Linked DNA regions of Arabidopsis thaliana. The protein of the gene in region 1 interacts with the protein of each later gene in a pairwise test. Each region holds a gene or a part of one and is shown in the gene's direction. Other genes may lie near its edges.

The links. Proteins that work in one complex are often made in the same cells at the same time.
Region 2: the proteins of AT2G32030 (region 1) and bZIP7 interact in a two-hybrid assay, tested with the Arabidopsis thaliana proteins (one large-scale study listed by BioGRID).
Region 3: the proteins of AT2G32030 (region 1) and AT1G17310 interact in a two-hybrid assay, tested with the Arabidopsis thaliana proteins (one large-scale study listed by BioGRID).

Annotation. Positions count from the first base shown.
Region 1 is NC_003071.7:13,629,053-13,637,524, reverse strand, and holds AT2G32030 (Acyl-CoA N-acyltransferases (NAT) superfamily protein), read left to right. Parts: upstream 1-3,973; 5' UTR 3,974-4,283; coding exon 4,284-4,850; 3' UTR 4,851-5,057; downstream 5,058-8,472. Other genes in the region: AT2G32040 (Major facilitator superfamily protein), read right to left, coding at 1-232, 363-455, 549-717, 831-1,091, 1,193-1,341, 1,441-1,603, 1,675-1,739, 1,819-2,069 and 1 more; AT2G32020 (Acyl-CoA N-acyltransferases (NAT) superfamily protein), read left to right, coding at 5,781-6,332.
Region 2 is NC_003075.7:17,719,324-17,727,657, forward strand, and holds bZIP7 (basic leucine-zipper 7), read left to right. Parts: upstream 1-4,315; 5' UTR 4,316-4,476; coding exon 4,477-5,394; 3' UTR 5,395-5,714; downstream 5,715-8,334. Other genes in the region: GRF2 (growth-regulating factor 2), read right to left, coding at 6,210-6,831, 6,905-7,256, 7,561-7,773, 7,866-8,286.
Region 3 is NC_003070.9:5,925,305-5,932,878, reverse strand, and holds AT1G17310 (MADS-box transcription factor family protein), read left to right. Parts: upstream 1-4,045; 5' UTR 4,046-4,178; coding exon 4,179-4,865; 3' UTR 4,866-4,954; downstream 4,955-7,574. Other genes in the region: AT1G17330 (Metal-dependent phosphohydrolase), read right to left, coding at 1,284-1,370, 1,450-1,622, 1,754-1,852, 1,979-2,076, 2,457-2,475, 2,568-2,598, 2,752-2,913; AT1G17300 (uncharacterized protein), read right to left, coding at 5,439-5,492, 5,589-5,975; AlaAT1 (alanine aminotransferas), read right to left, coding at 6,786-6,902, 6,995-7,198, 7,279-7,353, 7,464-7,574.

The DNA of each region.
Region 1 (8,472 bases):
GACCGAGAAGAGGCAGAGGGAGCAATGAGCTAAGATTGCAGAGGATAATAAGTGTTGATAAGTTACCAAAACTGTCTCTTGTAATGCCGAATGCTTGAGTCAGTCCTGCACCCATAAGCCCACCTAGAACACTGCCTCCGTTAGAGATTGACATGAGTGTAGCGAACAGAGTTGCTTCCATTCCTTCTGGACATAATCTCGCTGCTAACACAAGAACCGGCATGAATGAAGCCTGTTACAGTTCGATTTTAAGCTGTCAGTGCATAGATATTGACAAATTCCAATAATGCTCCATTAACTATGGAATCACAAATTCCAATAATGCAGCCTTTGAAAAACTCAATGCTGACAAATATGTAAACCTGAGCAAGGACTGTTAGGATTAGAGAGTCTCCTATAGCAAACCATTCGTCGCTAATCCCCAACTGTCTGTTAAAACCTGACACGAGGATAACCTGCAAAACATAAGAACGGTCCCAAGAGTTATTGGTTGTGTAACAGATAATAGATGGCAAAGTTTTTCTTGTAAAGAGCGGACGGGAACCAACCTGAGTCATCCCAAGACCCGTGCCAAAAATTGTCGTCACGAGAAAGATTTTTCTCAATGGAACAGTCTTCAGGAATCCATTGTACAGTCCTACTCCAAGCAATGAGGCAATTGAGGTCACAAGTTTAACTCGTCCCAGAAACTCCGGGGTAAAACCGAGTTTGTTCGTTCTGAGGTGAAATTTGTACCAAATAAAATTAGTTAGAGACTAGTTAATACATTCCAGAGAATATGAAATAAGCCAATAACCATGAAGGCATGAACCAAGTGGAAGAGGACATACGTGAAGTAAAACATTGCAGAATCTGAGTGTGGTGTGGCTTGCCATAAGAATATAAATAAGGTGGGGAGAAAAACATTCGGTTGCTTAATGGCACCCCATAGCTGAATCATGTTCTGCTTTGAGGTCTGAAGAAAACCAGGACTGAGCAGCGTTATATTCTCTTTCTGCCCTGATGCTGGTCTGACCACACGTTGTTCATTCACGAGAACAGCAACTGCTGAAGTTATCAAGGGTAGTAAAGCTGTCACCCCAAATACAAACCTGAGGTATAACAGCTTTTAGAATGCCACTTAGTTAGTTAGCTATGCCACGGAATACCGAAAAAGAGAAAAGCTACTGTTTGCGCAAATTGTGAACTGTACCTCACACCATATGACTCCACCAGGGAGCCGCTAAAGTAGGAACTCACAATTCCACCAAAAGCTGAGGATCCCCAGCACAAAGACTGCAGCGATCCTGACACGCTTTGTGACTCACCACGAGCCCGTTCCACTACCATTGAGTCTACTACCTATTAAAACGTTAACCACTTAATTAATATTTCAATATATCCAACTCTATCTTGCAACTTAACCAAGCTAAGTTAACCAGAATGGATTTGAAAACTTACAACATCAGAAAAGGCGACAGAGAGGGAACCGAGAAGTATACAAAAAGCAGCACTATATTTACTGTCAACAAAACCAGCCATCAAACTCCAAGAAAATGCACCAAGAAGTCCCGAGAGAACTAGATATGACCTCCTTCGATAACCAAATAGAGGCACTGAATCACTGCAAAACAGACCAACTTCCTTAAACAGTTATCACAGTCAAGAGGTATAGAGGTGATAAAGAACTCATACCTGATAAAACCATAGAGAGGCTTAACAAGCCACGGCAATGAAGAAAGACCCGTTATCACAGCTGTCTAGTCAAGAGGTATATATTTGTCAGCCTATAAAGAGATATTCCCATGAAAGTCCAACAAGGAACTACAAAAAGCATACCTCAGCAGGATCAAGATGCAAGTCATCTTTTAAATAGAAACTAACAGCGAGCCTAGCGAGTCCTAAAACACCTTGAACAAAATACACCATTGCTACAGCAACATTATCTGGTGATAATTCAACACCGTAGAATTTGATTCTGCTGCTACTAAGATTTCTTCCTTTACGAGGGGGAGGCTGTGTTCTAATACTAGAAGTAGTATCTCTGTCTCCTTCTACATCTGTATTCGATGTATCTCCTTCAGCTACACCTATTCATATACACACATTTCTGAGGATTCAGTTAATGGAGCTTCGATACTTGCAAAACCTAATCCCAAATGCCAATTTCTGAGGATTCTGTTGCTTTAAGAACTTACTGATTCGAGAATCTAAAAGCAGGCTTTCCTCAGAATCCCGCCGGCGAGGAAGCTCCGGGATTGAAACTATGGAGGACATATCTCTATCAGGAGGTCTCTTACGAATCTTCCGGCGTGATAGTCGGTGAGATCGAGCGGCGATAGCAAGGCGTCGTCTCTCGTTGTTGATGGATGGCAAAACTGTAAATTGAGAAGGTGAGATTGAGATAGAGAAAAGAGAGCGACTCGCCATTTTAATATTCGTTCTTTTTTTTTTCTTTCTTTTCTTTAAATAAACAACACTCCGTCTCTTGCGCTACGTAGATAAATTAATTTTTCTTCGTCTTTTTTTTCGATTGATAAATTAATTTTTGATTTTTCTCATGAACTATATTAGCAGCTTATTAAATTTTTATTGACAAAATATGTATTGAACCTTATATTTTAAATAATTTTGAGTTTTAATGTCTTTTTATGTGATTTATTGTAAAAAAAAAAAATCAAATTCCAGTAAAAATATGAGATTTGAATTTTTATATATGTAACTAAATAAATCTTTTTAAATTTTCTCAAATCCTTTAAAATTAATAAAGAGGTGTATTAGATCTAAGTGTGTCAAAATGGGTAACACAACTCAACTCAACTCATAATCAAATGAGTTTAGGGTTAAATGAGTTATGGGTTGATCCAACTCATTTTGTTAAATGGGTTAAGTCAACCCATAACTCATTTAATTTAATGGGTTGAGTTGTTAAATGGGTTAACCCATTTAAGTAATAATTTAATTAATTATTATTATAAAATAATAATAAATAATTATCATTATTAATTCATTATCATCAAAACTTAATATATTTACGGATTCCACTTTTTACGGGTTTACGTTTTTGGCGGGAAAATCTCGGGTTTACGTTTTTGGCGGGAAAATCATGGATTTACGTTTTTGGCGGGAAAATCACGGATTTACGTTTTTGGCGGAAAAATTACGGGTTTACTTTTTCTCAATTTCATCGCTTGTATATTTAAGAAATTTGGAAAAATATTAATTTTATTAAATTGGTTTAGATGTGTTGGTTAGACTTAAATTGGCATTGGTTTAGAGATTTTAGTTGGTTTAATTCAATTTTACAAAATTTGATGGGTTAATTGGATAAACCATTGAAACCATTAACCATTACAACCCAACTCATTTTACTCATCAAACCAATTGACTCATCAACTCATTTGACTCATCAACTCATTTGAGTCAAAATTTTCAACTCATTAGGGTTCATGGATTGAGTTGAGTTGAGTTGAGTTGACTCATTAATTTGGACCTTACAATTTGAGTTTTAGCTAGTTTTTATATGAGTTTGATGATTTTAGGAAAATTGATGTGATTTATTATAAAATATTTTAAAATTCTATATAAGACCATGAATTTCGATTTTGTTATTTTTAACTAAAGAACTTTCTCAAATCCTTCAAAATTAATAAGAATCAAATCTACCAATTATTTTCAATAACAATAGATTTTAAGATAGAATTTTAAATCTTTAGTTCAATAATACTAGATTTCATTAAAGTTTTTCAAATCCATAATCGAACAACATAGAATTTATAAATTTTACACAAATCACTTAAAATATTAGATTGAATACATTCTTATAAAAATCAAATCCATAAATTATTTTTAATAACAGTGAATTTAAAGGTAGATTTTTAAATTATTATTTTAATAACACTAGATTTCATTAGAATTTTCAAAATCCATAATTAAATAACATATACTTGTAAAATTTACGAAAGTCACTTTAAATACTAGATTGAATATACCTCTTTTAAATCAAAAACGATGAATGGATGGTAAATATACGGTTCACCCATACCCATTATAAACCGTCTTTTTCACACCTTCCATTCAACAAGAACTAATTGTTGCGTATTTGACCGATCGAAGCAAGAAGGAACGTTCTGTTTATTTTCTTTTTTGTTAAAAAAAAATCAGTATTTAAATCGTGATTTGTAGAAGAAGTATTATCATAATGCCTCTACACAAATCTGTAAGAATTGAGAGAGATAATTTATTTTAAAGAATCCCAAAGAAGCTTCAAAGACTCAAAAAGGAAAGTAACCAAGAAAAAGTCAATGGAGATGGACTCAACTACTACGATCAAACCGGAGACCCTATCCACCGTGAGTTCCTCACCTCCGGAGAAAATCCATCTCCGGCCAATGACTCTTTCCGACGTCGACGATTTCATGGTTTGGGCCACTGACTCAAACGTCACACGCTTTTGCACGTGGGAGCCTTACACTAGCCGAGAAGCCGCGATCGCGTACTTAAACGACGCTCTTTTGCCACACCCTTGGCTTAGAGCTATATGCTTAGATAACGACCGTCCGATTGGCTCGATCTCCGTAACGCCAGTCGATGAGATCAGAGGAGAGATTGGTTATGTCCTCGGAAGCAAGTATTGGGGGAAAGGGATCGCCACTGAAGCGGTGAGGCTTGTGGCGGGGGAGATATTCAAGGAGAAGCCAGAGATGCAGAGGCTTGAGGCACTTGTTGACGTTGACAATGTTGGATCTCAAAAGGTTCTTGAAAAAGTTGGGTTTGTGAAAGAAGGTGTGATGAGGAAATTTATGTATCTTAAAGGAAATGTTAGAGATATGGTCATGTTTAGTTTCTTGCCTTCTGATTCGTTGCACTGATCTGATTTGAATTAACAAATATCAAATATATATATTAAGTTTGTTTGATGTCGAAATTTATATTTTGCTTAGTTTGTAAAAATCACATGTATAATTTGATGTGATGCTCTATCTTTCTTCTTCTTATGTAATTGTTAGTTGTAACCTTATATATTAACTATTTCATACAAAAGTTATTTTTTATAATTTGAGAGTAATGTATTTACTATTTACCATGTTCACTTCACCAAATAAAACAAAGCTTCACTATCTCAGAAAAAATGTAAGTTTATATTGAAAATTAAAAGTACAAAATGAAACATGATATATATATATATATTTTCTTTTTGAATCTAAACATGAAATATTTTATACAATAAAAAGATAGTGTGATAGCTAGTTTTACAGCGATAGATGAATGGAATTCTGATAACATTCGATTAATTAATCTTTAGCTAAATTACTTAATCATACAACATGTTGAGTGACTTGATTCTTGAGTTGATTTTGACAGTATATAACAAACGATTACGATCATTTGCACCACAAATATTAACAGTATTAAAATATTTAATCCATTTAGAATAACTTGAGAAACAGTTAAATCCTTTTTGGGAATCAGACCACACACGATTTGACACGTGGCATTGTGGGCATCCAACTGGAAGCAACACATTAAGTTCCGAAACCAGAACAATACTTTGTTTGGCAACCAAGTAAGTGTCGAAAGTCCAAGGTCAAATATAGACAATTATCCACTCACACGATGACACCTCATCTTATGTCGTATATTTAACACTAAATACACTTATCTATAGCAAATGGTAATATTTAGTGTTTTTTTAGTCAAAAGCAATAAGGGAGAATCTCAAAGTTTTTCAAGATCGCGATGTGTATAAAGACATCGCTTAGACGTAGTGATATGATATCTAAAACAATCACTAATCCTAAATGGAGATGGACTCAGAAGAAACTAATCCAATAATGAGCTCTTCGCCTCCGGGAAGAATATCTCTCCGGCCGATGACTCTTTCCGACGTCGATGACTACATGGTTTGGGCCACAGATCCTAAAGTGGCTCGATTTTGCACTTGGGAGCCTTGCACGAGCCGAGACGAAGCTATCAAATACATAACCGATCGTGTCCTGACACACCCTTGGCTCCGAGCCATCTGCTTAGAAGACGACCGTCCAATCGGCTACATCTTGATCATGGCGGTTGATAACATCAGAAAAGAGATTGGTTATGTCCTAGCGAGAAAGTATTGGGGAAAAGGGTTTGCCACGGAAGCAGTGAGGCTAGTGACCGCGGAGGTATTCGAGGAATTTCCAGAGATTGAAAGGCTTGAGGCACTTGTTGATGTGGACAATGTTGGATCTCAAAGGGTTCTTGAAAAAGTTGGGTTTACTAGAGAAGGTGTGATGAGGAAGTTTATATGTATCAAGGGAAGTGTAAGAGACACTGTTATGTTTAGTTTCTTGTCTACTGATACTTTGAAGTAATTAATCAACAAAAAGATTAATTAGCAATTCTACATATATATGTTGGATTTAGTGTATGATTCATATACGTAATACATGATGTAAACACTCTGTTTTTCATTTGCCAAAAAAATCTATAAATCCTACATTGTAAATTACGAAACAATTAAAGTCAGTGCATGAGACAGAAGTGAGGTTAGAGGGATCATCCGATTACAAATTGATAGGTAGAGAAGAGTTTTAAAAATCAAAGGTTAATAGAAGCGTATAAACGAATAATGTAGAATGTAAATAAAACAATGGGATTCGTCCTGTATCCATAAAAAGGTTCACATACTCATCCAACAAGCAAAAGAAAAAAAAAGCAAAACATCCCATGGTCCTTGGGATGAGAACTTAAGAGCCAGACCAGCTTTGTTAAAATAACACAGGATATTAAAAGTATTTGTAAAATTTGAATTATGAATTTATGTAATTCAACAAATTTACTATAAGTAGTACGTAATTAATTTATTATGATTTCTCCATATTTCTTAAATTAAAGTAAACAATCTTTAGATTCCCCTGAGTTTCTTCTTCTTGTTGGAAAAATGAAGTTTACTCGTGCGTAATTCGTTAAGAGAGAAGCCCATGTGGCCCAAATTTAGGGCCCGTGTAGTGGAGGTTTCGTTATAAAGAATCTAGTGAGAAGTGAAGTGAGCAATTTCTTTTCTTTTTTTTTTGTTATGAAGAAAATAATCTGGAAATAAGAAATTACAAGAAAAAATGGATTTTTTTGGGTAAAAAAAAGAAGAAGAAATCAATCATCACTGTGCTTGTGTGAGGCTAATTTCGTTTCCCACTTTCAAAGGACTAAATATATTACTAATACAATTTATTTTAACTTCTGTGGTAGAACTAAAATATATTTGGCCTATAGATACACATGCATATCAAAAAAAGTTATTTTTAGGTTATGTGAATAAAGACTCCACTCCGTTCAATATGTCTGACCAGTCAGTCCATATAGGATATACGCATATAGTATGAAACAATTTATTAGTATTTGAAATCACTATGTAAGTATGTGATATTTTCTGTTAACCAACAAAAAAATTAGATTCATTTACTAACTAGCTCACTAAACATATGTTTTTAGGAATTAAAAATAATCTTAGCTCCAAAATTCGATAAGACTATATAGATATTTTACCTTTAAATAGGTACAAATTTGGAATGAACCGCAACATTTATCGAATTAGATAAAATATCAGAATGTCCACTCCTGTAAATCATAGCTGATGGACTTTAATTTTAATAGGATTGGAGTAATAGTTAAAGGTATTTAAGTAAATCATTTCGATATACACTTCTTGTTCTGGACCACATATTCCATTCCATTTTTATTTATTTGTTAATGTTAGGTAAAAATAGGGGTTTTCATGAAAAAAAAAATAGAGCTGATCATTGTCTCACTTCACATTGTACAAGAATGTTTTTATTTTATTTTTAATTTGGGTTTAAAATAAATAACCCAAAAAAAAAGGGAATTTAGAAGTGTTGTTGTAATCACGAAAGCTGAAACAAGAGAAAGCATGAGCAAATAGGAAAAAGAGAAAAGCATGAGATTACACAATACACTCTCTGCACTTTCATACTCTTTTTCAATCATTTCATTCTACATTCACATCTTTACACTATTCTCTCTCTTACCTTTAATATTTCAAAACATAATATACAAATTTCATCTGATTAAATTACAGCTTATATACTCAAACTAATGATTGAAAATTATTAAACCTTTTGCACGCAGTGCTACAAAAAATAATGCAAAGGTATTTGAATGTTGATATTTTGACTAATTGCTTACAATTATAACTCTTTATGAGATTGCAGAAAAAATAAAACTAATCATTGAATTTCTGTATTCCAATACATAGAATCAGAGAATGAGTGAGCTTCGAGGTTATCAAGAAGCCCTAACTTTTTCAGTACAAAGATCATCACAAGACGTTATCTTTTTATTCTTTTCACTTTTCCTTTGTAAGAAAACTATCATAATGAATGAAATAATTGCTTTTGCTGTATAGTATTTTTGTTACACTTATTAAACGGCTAAATCTTACTTATACAACAAGCATTACACTATCATTGTCTCGGGAACACACTTCAATTTACAATA
Region 2 (8,334 bases), on another chromosome or scaffold:
GATTATAGATTAATTAATTATGGATATATTGAAAACTAATGACCAAAGCATCTTTATATATAGTCAATCATGGTCAACTCTTTTCTTAATCTAGTTCTTATTTTAAGAAGAAAAAAATTAGAGTGTTTTGTTCTTATCTTTTTCATTTGTTAATGTTTTTATCTATTAAAAATGTAGTTGTAAAAGTTAAAAAAAGAAAGAAAGAAAGATGTATATCTCTTTCACTCGTTTTCAAAAAGGAAACAAATGAATGTGTAATATTCAAAATTTTATAGTATTTTAAAATTATATATAAAGAAAAGTGGATTTGATAAAAGTTAGGTTATACCAATATGTTTCTAAAGATTAACCATCACACATTACCTCGATTTATATTGGAAACATCTAGAAGTATATTTATAGGGAGGTTAAATGGACTGAATGTTTTTTGCTACTACTGATTATTATTATTTTGCCATAATTTGCCACTGGTGCTGTTAAGGGTAAAGGAGATTGTTAATTGGACCAAAACCAATCCCTTTTTTTTTTTTTTTCCAAAACCAATCCCTAAGAATAATAAAAGAACTTTTTTTGTTTGGCATTAGTCTATCAAAAACGTTGACCTGTTTTTACGTGAAGTCAACCGTTGATTTTTTCATATTGGGCCAAATATACCAATATACTGGCCCAATGCAATTCAAGCATGATGGTGGTACAGTCGGAAATAAAAAACTTGAAAGTTGAAACATACATTACTTTAACCCGATTTAATTAGTAGGTCGACACGCAGAAAAACAATTTATGAATTGGTTATCAGTAATTTGATGTCACTAATTAGTACAATTATCGCAATAGTTGCAGGCCCCAACCACTATAATGTTAATATCACGAGAAACCAATCGATTTTTAAAGTTGCAAAGCAAAGAAGTTCGAAACTCGTTAACTAAACCCACCCTTACGTAAACATTTGACCATATTCTAATATGCATGTACATATACGATGCATACATATATATTTGGAGCTATAAGGAGAACCCTAATGGCTAATGACGTACCAAATGACGCCACACGATAAATCTCAACGAACACTCCACCACAAACATATAGATTACAAAAAGATACATTTAAAAAGCCATAATTAGTGGATTGCTAACGTTACTTACTTACTTTACATCCATTTACTCATATATATATACACCACACACACAAAAATATGTGTTAACACGAACGATGCAAGGCGACAAAAATATAAAAGTAATTTAGGAAAAATATATCGCTAATTTGTTGAACTGTAGAAGCGTAGAGTTAATTTTCTGGATCTGTTGAGTACATCCGACGGCCAAAACTTAATCGACACGAAAGTTTAGGTCGAGGACCCGAGCAATGTTAGCATTTAGTCGCCATTGTTCTTAGTCTTATACTCTTATTAATGACTTAATAATATCAATTATTGATCGTCAGACTTATATCTATTTAATATACTAATAAAAAATTAGTTTTATATATATATATATATATATATAGAAAAGTATTAACGATTTCTCCAGTATGCGACTACCTGGAGACTAAATTATCTTAAACAACATTCTATAGTATTTGTATCCGTAAAGTTTTTTTTTTTTAAATCAGTACTCAATAACATCAAATATTTGCAACTCATTTTCATAGAAACGACAGACTTTTTCAAAGAAAATTCAAATAGCAAGAGTGTTGCATGTGGACATCCATTGCCAAAGAAACGACACGTTTAAGTTTTTCCATGACAAAAATAATAGACTCATTTAGGGTTTTCCCAATTTACAAATTTTGTCGTTATATGGCCTGTATTCTTTTTATAGTGATTAAAAAACTTTACATGCGTCATATTTAGAATTTCTTCAAACTTTTTATTAAAGTTTCCTCCTCGACTTTAGTTTAAGATTTTTAAATTTAATATGACCTAAACGGGGCTAAACTAGCCATAGGCTAAGTAATTAGCATAAATATAAGAAAAGCATACACACCAAGTTGACTATAATCTTACAAATAAGTATTTGAAGTTTTAACAAATTTTTAAGAATATTTGTTCAGATATGATCTACTGGAATTCCGTTACATTTCAATGATAGTTTTTGTGGTTAACTTTTTTTAAAGAATTAAATCTTTTTAAAAAAAAAAATTGTTTTTTTCAGAGTTTATATAGTAAAATTTATAAATATAGGTATAAAATCAAAATTTATTGGATTTTCCGTAAGTTTAATTGTATGTATGAATCATCAATAGTACAAGATCCATAATATATACCTATACGCATCAAAATTGGTATATGTTTCCTCAAGCAAAGGGAAGTTCGTTAATTAGCATAAGGGTAAAGAATAATGTCTTCTACATGATTCGCATGACTATTACTTGAGTTATATAAAGATTCTATGTACGTATGTCTTCAGATATGTAAAGGAAGAATTAATGTAATTCTAAAATGTTCTAAAAAATTGATGCGGGTTTTAATTTAGTGGTTTGTATGTACGAATGTTGCTACCCTGTTCGCTGTCCGGATTCCAATATGATAAATATGCGTGTGAGTACAAACGAAAAAAAGACTATTATAGAACATTAAATCTTTAAATTATTGAGTTATTTACGTGTTAAGGCTCAATGAATATTCGAACTAAAGTTGTGACATCAATTTACAAGTAAATGTGGGCTTTCCGTCTTATAAACTTTTTTCATTTCCCATGACATGTGTATTGAACTCCTTTAATACAATAATGAGGTGAAAACTTTTTAAGATAAAGATTTTTGTAACTCCACTAGGGAAAAATCATTGTATCAAACTTTAAAAAATTTCGAAATACAAATGTTAAAATAGACCACTTAGCATGAAATGTTCGTATACGTATATAGATCGAGCTTTAAGAACTTTGTACTAATTAGGATCAAACTATAAAATATTTTGCTAATATATCAAACTGTATATGATTATCTCAACAGAACCTTGTTGTAACTTGCTATAAGCCATGTTGAAAGCTGGTTCACCAGCCGGGCACAAGCTTAGCTCCTGGCTCATCGACCGATCTGCGATACGACTTTTTCAGTGGTTAACAATAGTAATAGGTCCCTCCACTCGACCTTTTTTAATGTATATAAAAAGCTAAGATGTGAGCTTTTTTTTCTGGACATTTAAAGTTGAGTTCACATGAGACCGAACCAAAACATGAATCTGGCTATAATAAAGCGACGTGTATATGTAATATATATAAGTCTTTGTCCTCTCCACTTTATTCTATATGAAATGCATGTGGCCGTTGCTCCACATTTTTTGTTTCTCATCATAAATAAGCTAAGTAAAGGTATCTAAAAATTAATATAATTATAGTATACTAAATTTAATTTTAATCAGAATTTTGTACTAGGGATTGTGTGATTTAGAAGTCTAGGCGCATTTTTCATCCTTATTAATTATCTTTCCTTAGATTGGTAAATTATTAAGCGAAAAAGCTATGTAATGCCGTATATATATTTATACAATCAATTATGATTGATGCAGCATTTTAACCAAAGAGAAAACAATTCAACATTAAGATAAAAATTAATTTATTTTCTATATTTCCATTAATTTTCTGTTGTATATTTAAACATTATTTACGAAACAATATATTTTGATTCAAGATTTAACAATTAAATTATTGAATTTTTCACATTATATTTCTAATGAAGAAACTAATCTAAAAATACTCTACATTTGATGTATCCTTGCAATCGAAATATTCAATGTTTCCGTGTAGCAAGCAAGTATATATACTTAACTTTTTGGTCATAGGTTAACTTATAGGGTTCTTTACAAAAAGCATTGGTCTCATCTCTCATGCAAAGCACCAGTTTGGTTCAGTTAATTGAAAAGTATGTTCCTTAGATTCTCTGATTGAAACGATGATTCTAGTCCCTCTCCAGTGTGTGTCCATCCCGTGTTAAAAGAAATTGACAAAACTAAAATAAAGAAAGATTGCCATTCTCTTTAAAAAAAGATTGTCTTTCTCTTTAAGAAAGATTATTAAACAGTGAACATAAAGAACCACAAATTACTCTATTCTGACTGTAAATATCATAATTAACCAGCATATGTTCACATACAATTTTTGTTTTATCTAATCACTAACTAAAATGATAAGTTTATTGAAGATAATATGGAATTGATAATTTTTTGTTTTTTTTGTTGAATCTTCTAACAAGAATGAGAGAAAACTATATGAAGTATTCAATTCCAATATGAAAAGTTAAACTTTTTCTAGGAGTGTAAAGAAATATCTCATTCTTGAATTTCTTAAAACGTGTGAAATATGGACTGTTTTCTTCATCACTAAGCTATTACTGGTTACATAATTTTCAAATTTGTTAATTTATTTTTGTTATATGGACCCAAAACAAGCTATTGGTGCCCTACACAATATTTCCTGCTTTTACAAAAGTTGGCTCTGCCAAATAAAAATTTTCAAGTTTTTAACCCCACCATAGTGCAACATGACTCAAAAGCTGTTTATACAGTATAGTCTACGGTCTTACATCGTATTTTGGAAATATGACCAAATTACCCCTTGGTTTGTCCATAAATATCAAGCTCCAACAATGCAATTCTTCCCTTTTCCCCTTCTAATTTCTCTCATCTCTCTATTAGAAAAATTATTAGCAATTATGTTGTCCACTGCACCGGCCTTTTCATTCTCCGAACCGGGTTTGGTTAATCAATTCTCGGGTTTCCAAACCGGGTTCACTCCTTGGGAATGGGATTGCTCTGATCTCTTTTTCGTGGACCAAATGTCTCTTGAACCGGCCATCCCTAGTCCTTGTTATGGTGAATCCGACACTGGTTCCGTCAAAATTAATTCCGGTTCTCATGACATGAAAACCGGTTCTGACGAATCTTGTGCCGGTTTCGTCAAAATTAATCCTCGTTGTGACGACGCCGACATATCAAACGATCTACCGTGCTCTCAAGCAGATGAACCGGACTCGGACGACACAAAACAATTGACAGCCATCACAAATTTCGGTTCGGGAGAGAATAACCATAACCGGAAAAAAATGATCCAACCGGAGATGACCGACGAGCGGAAGAGGAAGAGGATGGAGTCAAACCGGGAATCAGCGAAACGGTCAAGAATGCGTAAACAAAGTCACATTGATAACTTACGAGAGCAAGTAAACCGGTTGGATTTAGAAAACCGTGAGCTCGGGAACCGACTCCGGTTAGTTTTACACCAGCTTCAACGAGTGAATTCCGACAATAACCGGCTCGTGACAGAACAAGAGATACTCCGGCTAAGATTGTCGGAGATGCGTCGGATTCTGATCATTAGACAACTTCAACAACAGCAACAATGGGAACTACATAACCGGAGAATGATCATGACTGAACAAAACCACCCTCATCTTCAATGATAGATCAAAATATTTAAGAAGAAAAAATATCGAAAAACTTAGAACAATAACCAAAAAAAAAAAGCAAAGCAAAAAAGAAACTCTCGCTATGTCTCTCTATCTCTCTATGTAAATGAAATGAAGGTTAGGAAGAGAAAATGATAGTTTTCTAATTTTCCTTTCCACTTTCTCGTTTTCTATATGTTGTGACTCCACTACACTAGAGAAGAAGGAAAACAAAACAGATTTTTATTTTGGTTTTCTTTTTCCCACTCTCGTGTATGAGATAAATAACTTAAAGAGTTATTAAATTAATACAACGATTTACATTATTACTTAGTGGAAACTGGAAAGGCTTTATGCGCATTGACATCATGCTACAACGCCCATAATTGTTGAAAAGATACACTGTATTTTAAAGTACTAAACCAAGCCTAATAAACCGGTTGCCACGATCCCAAATACTGTAATATCACTACATAATATATCTTAATCGTTAAAATGCCTATCTCGGCCCAAATAAAGTTTTGGAACATAAAGCCCAACAATAATTTAGGTCCTCAAGTCCATTTTTGTTACGACCCTAAAAGTTTTCCCTTGATGAAAGAGCAAAGATAAACCCTAGTTTGTAACTGAACAATTAGAATAAAGATTGTGATTATATGAAGTGATTATCAAACAAATGATTCAGAAATCGGAAACGAAGAAAGAATCAGAAGAACAACGATTTTCTAATTTCCTCTTTAAGCTTTAGAAAGACGAAACAGAACATAATGAAAGAGAAAAAACAGAGCTTTTCTTTTTTTGTTTCCTGCCGCAGGACTTGGTTTCAGTTTTCAGGTTGTGTAATGAAAGTAATCGCCATTGTGTCTGTTGTTCTCTGCAATGGGGCTGCTCACGGAGCTGTTGTTAGAGAGTGAACAAAATGTGGACTTTTGCAAAACCCCTGTAGGAGAAGATCCAAATGTTGGACTATTCGTTGTACTGTTTAGTACTTCACCTAGAGGACCTCCTAAGGAGTTTCCCCATGAGATTGGTATCCAAGTATTCACCTTTTTCACAGTAGGCTCGATTGTTGTTTCATCGGTTTGGATCGATAGGTCAAGCTCGCGGGATAGCCTGAGAGGCGAGAGTGTTGTTTTTTCTTGAGCATTGTTGTTGTTGTGTGTGGAGGAAGGGGATGATGATGCTATTGGAATTGACATTGAGAGCTGTGTCCAATCTGATGTCAGCTCTTCAGGCCAAGAATTGTGATTGTGATTCCCTGAATGCTTCTCTTGGTTGCTGCTGAAATCCAAGAACGATGATCCATAGGTCTTTGCGGTATTCGGGTTGAGTAACGAATCAGAGGATATGTGTCCAAACTCAAAAGGGTTGTTGTTGTTTCTGTGTTTCTGATGAATAACCGGAGATTCCTTGGGTTGTAAGTTGACGGTGGAAGGATATATCGAAACTCCTCTGTTTTGCAAGAGTCAGTAAGTGAGATATGAACTAACAATGAATATGCAGAGTATTAAAAATCTGTTTTCACCTGTTGTTAGGTAAAGATTCTGTAGAAGGATTGATATATTGACTTCCAATGGCGAGGCTGCGGTTGCTTGATGCACGGGCATTGCTTCTGTTAGTATTACCAGCGACAACAGGCTGTTGTGGTGTAGTAACCGCTTTGGATGCAGCAGCGGCGGTTTGGTTTTGGCCAGATTGGACTTCCACAGGCTTTCTTGAACGATGACGGCCTCTGTTGATGTGTCTTTCACAGTATTTCTGATCAGGAACGGCGTCTCTTGAGCACCGCCATTTCTTCCCATCTGTTCTGCGGCATCTCCCTGGCTCAGGGTCCATGTTACCGCCTGCGAAACCGAGATGGAAAGTTCCCCATCCGACTACACAAAACCGAACATAAACACTCATTAACCATTTATAACAAAATTCCCTATGAAAAATCCTAAAAGCAACCATTGTTGTAAAGACTTTTCAACCAACAAGACAAATCTTGAAAACCCTATGAGCAATGTTATGAAGGATTTAGCACCAAAATGACATAAAAGACTAGATAAAATCTGATTCTTGGATTAAGCAACCACACCACAAATGAGTTGATCAAAACCCCAAAACTTTCACAAACAAGTGATCGCTCAATGGAAAGTTATGTGCAACTAGAAATTGTGTTAAAGAGATGGAGCTTACAGGAACTAGGAGGCAAAGATCCGTAAGGATAAAAAGACTTCTTGATAGAGATGAGCAAACTAGAAGGAACAGGGACATTGGCTGTGATGTACTTATAGATCAACGCCTGTTGCTCTAACTCAGCCCATTGAGTCAATGTAAAAGGTCCTTTAACACCTGTGAAGTTCCCTTGCATGCTCATGTTCATCATCATTCCACCAGAACCATATCCTCCTGCATTCCACAGCAAAAATGTAAAAAATTTGATTATTTTACACAACCCATTTCACCAAAATCCAATCAATAAAGAGAAGACATTATCAAACCTGAGCTTCTAAAGTAAGAAGGTGGAGGAATCTGGTGAAGAAACGGCGAGAGAGAGTTCTTGTTATTACTGCTATTATCCAAACCGACATATTTACTGAAATCAAGAGCGTCTGGTTTATCTGAGAAGCTAAGCATTTGTTCTTGACGGCGAGAATCAGAGGAAAGAGGAGAAGCAGATCTCATGAGAGGAATGCCTTGGTGAAACGACATCGTTTTGCAATAAGCAGCTGCAACAGAAGAAGACAAGTTTTCTTCTTCTTCCGCTCTAGTTGTCGTTCTTGCTAGCTTCAAGCTTCGTTGCAAGCAATCCTCACCGATGAATCCGGATCTATCTTGTTTAGTTCCTATAAGCTCTTTTAGACCAAGTGACTCATTTTCATTACTAGTAACCGACCCAAGAACATGAACACCAATATCCATAAGAAGTAAGTAATATAAAAAGAAAAAGAAGGAAAAAAAGTTAGATAA
Region 3 (7,574 bases), on another chromosome or scaffold:
CGTTTTAATTTTGATAACTCTAATTTTCTTAATTAAAACACAAATCGAACACGTAATGGCCGACCTAATCGATGAATTGAATGACGAAAGTGTCTAACTCAATGGATGTTGGACATGTGTTATGTTGAATGGTAATAGATTATGTATTCTATACGCGATTAATTAGTCTTTTTTAATACTACAAACCAAACGACTTGGCTAAACATGAACAGTCCACTCGATTATTATATATTTTTATTAAATTCAACAAAATTTCCTTGTGTACGAAGCAAACTCTTTCCAAATATTAATTGGTTTTCAAACAAAAGTACAAAAATAGAAGAAGGGAATAATTGTATGTAAAAAAAGGAGTGTCGTATTATAATTATCGTAAAGGATTTATTTTCTATTTATAATCTAAACAAGTAAACAACTATGTCTTTTAATTAGTAAAATTGTATTCGAATACTCCCAACGTAAGTTTTTTTTTTGGTAAAACTCCCAACGTAAGTTCTTCACATGAAACTGTTTTTTTTTTTATATACCCACCAAGAACCTGATTTTGTATTTTGTGTATGTTGTTGCAAAACCAGACTTAAATTGTAAAAGAAGAATCTTAACTGCCAACACATAAGATGAAGATTACCCAACGAACGAAAACTATTATCTAGGTATCAAAAGACAAACAAATGTCACTAATACTAAATTTTCGTCATTATACGTTTTTAAATCACGTCAGTTTGGTATAAGAATATACATATTCTGATATTCAAACCAGGTAAATGTTATATTATGGCCGACCGAAGATAGCCTCGCAATGACTTGATCCACTAAAACATCCAGAAGACATCTTATCATCTTCCACTAATAAAATTTAAAGAAGACTTAAAAACGAAAATAGCAAGTCAATATTTAAACCAGTTGACAAACAAAAAGCCACTGGACTTTATAAAACCCTTTACGAAAAAGACAACAACTGACTTTGGCGTAAAAAAAAAAATTATGAAAAGAAAACGATTGGCTCTATCGTGTAATCCTTGCTTGATTTCTTCCACAATCATTGGCATTGACAAAATAATAGAGTTTTCTTTTTTTAAAAACAAAGCAATTTTAACATTTATAAATGTATAGTTATTACGAGCTATTTAAATAGAGTTGCCTTAAACAAAAAATAAAAAGAGAGAGAGAGTTGCCACTCTGTTTAAAACCTAAACCACATATTGGTTTGGTAGGTACTGCTTACTCAATAAAATCCGGTTGAACAAATCCTCTGCTTTTCTGCTTCATTTATCATTTTTAACTTTTCAAGTTGACCCATCCCACTCTTCATAGAACTCCTTAAGATACTCTTCCATGAACTTGTGCCTTTTCTCTGCCCTCCTTTTACCCGCCTGATATGTTTTCAATCCACATTAAATCTCAAATCGAAACAAATTTTTCGCGTCAAAATAGAGTTGCGGTTAAACTTACCTCAGTTTTCATCAGCTTCTTTAGCTTGAGGAGTTTCTCATGAAAGTGATTAATAGTAGTTTGCTCCTCTCTCTTAATGTACTGCTCTTTGGTTAGCTCTGTCCGGGGCTTGATCTCAGGATCATGAAGCACTCTGTTCCTGCTTCCACCAAATGTAAAGCAACGAGCAATTCCTATAACAGAAAGAGATCAACAACAACTAATAGCACAAATTCCATAACATAGAGAATTTTCACATGACATCAAAGCAGATATTTGGCAATGACATATCAAAAGCAACTAAAGAAAAGAGACGTATTCTTACCTATGGCGCCAATTGCATCAAGGCGATCAGCATCTTGAACTACCCCAAATTCTGGAAGAGACTCACAGAGTGCTACTCCTGCTAATTCGTCTTTAAAACCTGGAAAGAATACACTTGTTCTGTTCACAAATTTATATACAACAGAATGACTTAATTGTAGTGATAAATCATGTACATTATAGTTGATTGGATATGTTGAGTAAAAAGTAGGAGCTGGAAACTGACCCATTCCATTGATGATCGTTAGTATCTTCGTCTTCTTGGTCTCTTCTATACCCTCATCATCTAGGAAATTCTCAACAAGTTTCTCTTCCGAAGGGTCTCTGAATTCCGGTTATAATTATTTTTGCCATGAAGCAACATATCAGCGGAAGGAAAGCAATCTTCAGCATTCATAGTTAAGTAGTTTTTATGTTTATATCCACACCAAGTTCCACTTAGTAGAGCCTAGCAATCCTAAGGTAAGCAAATCTGACAAGGAATTCTCACAAGCTTTACCTAATGGCATTCGCAAACAAAACACTTCCAAGTTTCTTTATTCATCCAGTTTAGATAAAACAAAGTTAAAAGCAGGGAACTTAGAGAGTTTCATGAGAAAAGTAAACACTTTTGTTTCCTGGAAGTGTGATCAAGAATGTTGGAAGGGACATTACTAGTCTATACTCAAGCGGTTCAAAAGAAAAGAAAACTTAGAGAAACAAACCTTATGTACTTGTAATCACCTGATAAGAGAGAGGGCAAGAGATACGAATTATGATCAACCTGTGGACTAGAACCACATTACTAAAACAGAAATGAAAATAAAACCAAGTACCTATATCATGGAGAAGAGCTGCAAGCTCCACCTGCAAAGTATCAACAGAAATGGTTCACTCTAAAGTAAAAGAGCTGAAATTTGACAATAAACAGCTATAGCTAACTAGAAGAACTAACTAGAAGAAGGTTCATCAGGCTCAGCTGAACTAGAACTTTGAGATTTAGGGATTTTTCAAACTCACAATTTCCATGGAGTCAGAATTGGAAGAGAGACCTTCCTCGCGAGCAATGGAGAGAGCAAGGTCTCGGACCCTCCACACGTGCCAGGCGTCATGAGAAGCATCGTTTCCTTTCATCGCCTTCTCCACCAGCTCCTCCGCCTTCCTCATCGTCTTCGCCGCCATCTATCTCTCTCTCTCTCTCAACTGCTCAGTTTCGAAGATTGGAGAGATTTTGATTTTGCAATTTCAGCGTCGGAAGCTCTGTTTTAAAATTGATTCAAGTTTGCCGTCTCGGCTCGACGTTGACCACCGGAGTCAAAGAGAAATTCGGGGAAGGAATTTACTCATTTTACCTTTTTACCCTTACGTATGAAAGAATTTATTTATTTATGTTTTTTTAAAAAATATTTAAATTTACAGAGATATTTTCACATATTATTGTAGATTAAACTACACAAACTTTGCCACTTTCTGTTAATTATTTTAAAAATCTCTGTACTGATTGTTATAGAAAACCTATTCTTTACATTAATCGCTGGCTATATAGTACTGATTTGTCAAGTTGAAAGGTCGATTTATATAAACTTATGACTTTTGGATACATTTTTCAAAACAAATTTGATCCATTGAAATGGAGATTGTCTTTGGTGTTTTCCCTAGTAAGATTTCAAGGTTTATCTTTGTCCCCGAACCTTTTCAATTGCATTGGTTATGAAGTGGTTTATCTGCTTTGGTGTTTATAAATATTCGGGATTTTAGTTGTTTCTAGAGAGGTAGTTCAATAATTGATTATTTTCCAAGTTTCTGTTCTTAAACTCTTTTTTTTTTTTTTTTTTTTTTTGTTCTATGGAATAGATTGTAATCAAGTAACAAGGATGTCATCAAATCACTTCTTGGCCACGAATGAGATACTTAATTAATTTGAATATGTGATCAATTTGTCACTTAGACATTTTACCGTGATATTTGGAATTCTTAAATATCATATGTGTAATTTGAATATGTGATCACTTCTTGGCAAGAAGACGTCATATACTCATATGTTTTTCTTCTGCTTGGCATGACATAATTGTTCTACATGCTACGTTTGTATATGTGTACGTGATAGTAAAAAGAGATTCGTGTATATTTAGGTAGACTATGCATATATTATATAAATATAATGTGTATCACAAATTCACAATCGATTATTCAATAAACGACTAAAATGGAAAGTAGTATCTCGGATTTTATATTATTTCTATAACTTTTGTATAAGACAACACATGTCTTACATTTTTACGAGAAGCTATCTTTGATTCATTGAATCATTCCGAAAAATATTAATTAATTGGAGGTGCATTTAATACAACATTCCATAAACGTACGAAGAAAAGTAAGACAAATTAATTCCTTTATTATTACATAATCATGAACGACTATAAATCCCTCGACCAAGGAAAAACCTAATGATATTTTCATCTCTCCCCTCTCGGTTAGTCATGAAAGATTTGTTCATGGAAGGAGAAAGAGAAACTTCATCGATGACTTGCTTGACGCCCAAGGATTCTGTTCAAAGCCCTAACATGTTGGTTAGACAACCAAAAAAGGAGACAACAACACAAACCCCTAAAACGACACGAGGAAGACAGAAGATAGAGATCAAGAAAATCGAGGAAGAGACCAAGAGACAAGTAACGTTCTCGAAACGCCGTCGTGGGCTGTTCAAGAAATCCGCTGAATTGAGCGTTCTCACGGGCGCAAAAATCGCCGTCATAACGTTCTCTAAATGCGATAGGATCTACAGATTTGGCCATGTAGACGCATTGATAGACAAGTATCTTCGTAAGAGTCCGGTGAAGTTGGAGGGATATTCCGGTGATAACGCGGCGGATGAGGAAAGTAGGAGACCGTGGTGGGAGCGTCCGGTGGAGAGTGTGCCAGAAGAGGAGCTTGAGGAGTACATGGCAGCATTGAGTATGTTGAGAGAAAATATAGGGAAAAAGATTGTGGCGATGGGTAACGATCGGACGGTTGATATGGTTCCGGCATGGCCAATCAATGTGATGGGATGGAAACCAACGATGGATATGCAAAAATTGGAAAATCTGACGGATGGGGTTAATCGATGCCGTGTAGGTCAAAACGGTGATTGATTAGTCCAGTCGTGAAGTATTCCTCTAATGAATTTCTAAAATATTTTATTTAGTTTTGTTAAGTTTAATTATATGATTTTATGCTATTGATCATCAGATTGTTTCATCTCTTGTATACTTCATACTTTGGAAATTCAGTTGTTTGGATTTTTAATCTTTGAACCATACATATTACATAATGTAGAACAGTATTCTATCAGTTAAACCAGCTTTCAATTTTTTTTAAGATTTGACCTGCACATGTACCATATTTATATACCACATGAAGTATTTTTGGCAGATTGAAACTGCATTTTCTCTTGGTCGTTTTCTTATTTTATGTAAGGCGTACAAGAAAAAGCAAATAACGAAGGAAACAAGTGATTCTTACAATTAAGAACAAACGGGAAAGGTTGGAATGCTGGTTCCTTAAAACAAGGAAACCAAGTCACTCTTATTTATTTGCACGACACAAATTGACACAGAATAATAACATAGACTAAGTCTTAGCTTAATCCCTAAACATGCAATTAGGTTTTCTCTTTCACGTGTTTGACCAGCCGACTCTCTCAGGCCTCAACACATCCAGTCTCATCATTGACCAATGTTGATAATTTCTCCACGGACAGCATACTCATATTTGAGAACCTGTGTGATCATTTATATCCCCACAAATAAAAATCAGAAGCAGTCAAGAAACGTTTTAAGACATCAGTCTCTAGAGTGGAGTCAAGAAAAACCGACCTTGGTATTGATGGAGTCAAGAGTTACGGGAAGAGAGGAAGAGGAATCAGAAGCAGAGATATCGGAAGAAGAAGCAGACAAGTGACGCGATGAAGAAGCAGGAGTAGGAGTAGGGACTCTTCGGAAGCTATCTTTTTCTCCTCTAACTGATGCTTTCTCCTGATCCTTGTCAATCTGTATAGGGTTTGAGCCACCCCTTGGGATTCTTCTTAAGCTATCTTTTTCTCCCTTAAGTGGCTCTTTCTTCATCTCCTTGCTTACATGCAAATCTCTCGCAGCTTGACTCGAATGTGTCATCGTTAACAAAGAACGGCCCTCTACACTATACTTGCTGCTAAAGAAAGCTACAAGTAACAGAACCAGAGCCACTGAACAGTATCTCTTCATTGTGATTTCTCTTCTTGTAAATCCGTTAGGATTCTTGAAAGCTCGTATCTTATTCTTGTGACAGTAACTGAGACAATCTTGGATAGAGATATGAGTTAGATAACTAGAGACTTCTAAAGCGTGTTGCTTTATAGACCAAGATTTGTGTGTGTTTGAAGAAATAGTTATTGGGATCTAATTACGTGATCTTACTTTGACTGCTGCTATAATAATCAGATTTTGAGTCACTTACCTTATCATTTACTGATGATGATATTACTCAGCAGCATCTACATTATCATATGTACAGTACACATTACCTAACTCATGTGCATGCTTTGAAGTTTAAGAGATGGTGGCCATGTGAATAGAGAACGTGACTACTGTCTACATTTTACTAAGGGAATTTGGAGGTATTAGCGTAATTCTCCAATTTCAGAAAGAATAAATTGCAGGTAACAGCTGTTTTGTCTCTCAACTAATCACTACTTTTCTCCACAATCTTTAATCTTATGCAGTTATTTATATTTTCAAACGAAAATGATTCTGTGAAATCGAAACTTTGAACATGGAATTCAACAATGGTTCAATCTTGTGTTTTCTTGATGAGATTACATTTTGACTAACCGTTTATAAGAAACTCTCTCAATTTATATTACGGTTTTTCACTATAAAGAGAACAGAACAAAAAGTGAATAAGAAAGAGAGCACTAACTAATGCTCTCACATCTTAGCTTCTGTAAACACAAAGTCGATGAAAAAGAAACGGCATGGGACCTTTTTCTTATTATTACTCATATAATCTATAGAGGGATCTTGAAAACAGAATGCTTAGTCGCGGAACTCGTCCATGAAGCTCTGGTGGAACGCAGTTAGACGATCAACAATCGCTGGAATCTTATCCTCTTGGGGAAGTATAGTGCACCTGAAATGCCATGTTCCAGGTACCTACATCAAACCGAACAAAGACATAATCAATATCAGCAAGTGAGGTTTTAGTTTTGGTTCTTTGGAGAAAAAGCTATTTCTTTTTTTCAAACCTGTCTAAAGCCAGAACCAGGGACAACGACTATTCCAGTAGCTTTTAGAAGGCGTTTGCAGTAGAAATTGTCTGGTGCTGTCTTTTCCGCCTCAGCAGCTGCAATTGCCTTTTGTGGAAGGTGAAGGCAAGGGAATAGATACATAGCTCCTTCTGCTCTATTGCATGTAACTCCCTCTAGCTTGTTCAGAGCCTCTTCAAGAGTCTGCAAGGTTAGAGTTCAAACACTTTAAGAACAGAAAGTTCTAATCTTGAATATTCCTAGTTGTCTATTAAATGGCTAACCTTTGCACGTCTTGCCAAAGATGAGAGAATTCCATCCTTCTCTGCTATGTATGATTCATAGGAGTCGTCACCAGGCTGATCAAATTTAATAAAAGCTATTAAGGTCAATTATCGATGTGCAAGTCCAAGCCAACAGGTGGAAACTGAATCAATTGTGATGATAAAGTCATATAGATGTTTTATACCTTGGGTGGGCTCATGATGAGGCTAGCAAGAATTTGACCAGAGATGTTGGAACAAAGATTCACAGAAGCCATTTTGTATATCTGCTCTCTTACATCAGAAGTGAATCCAGT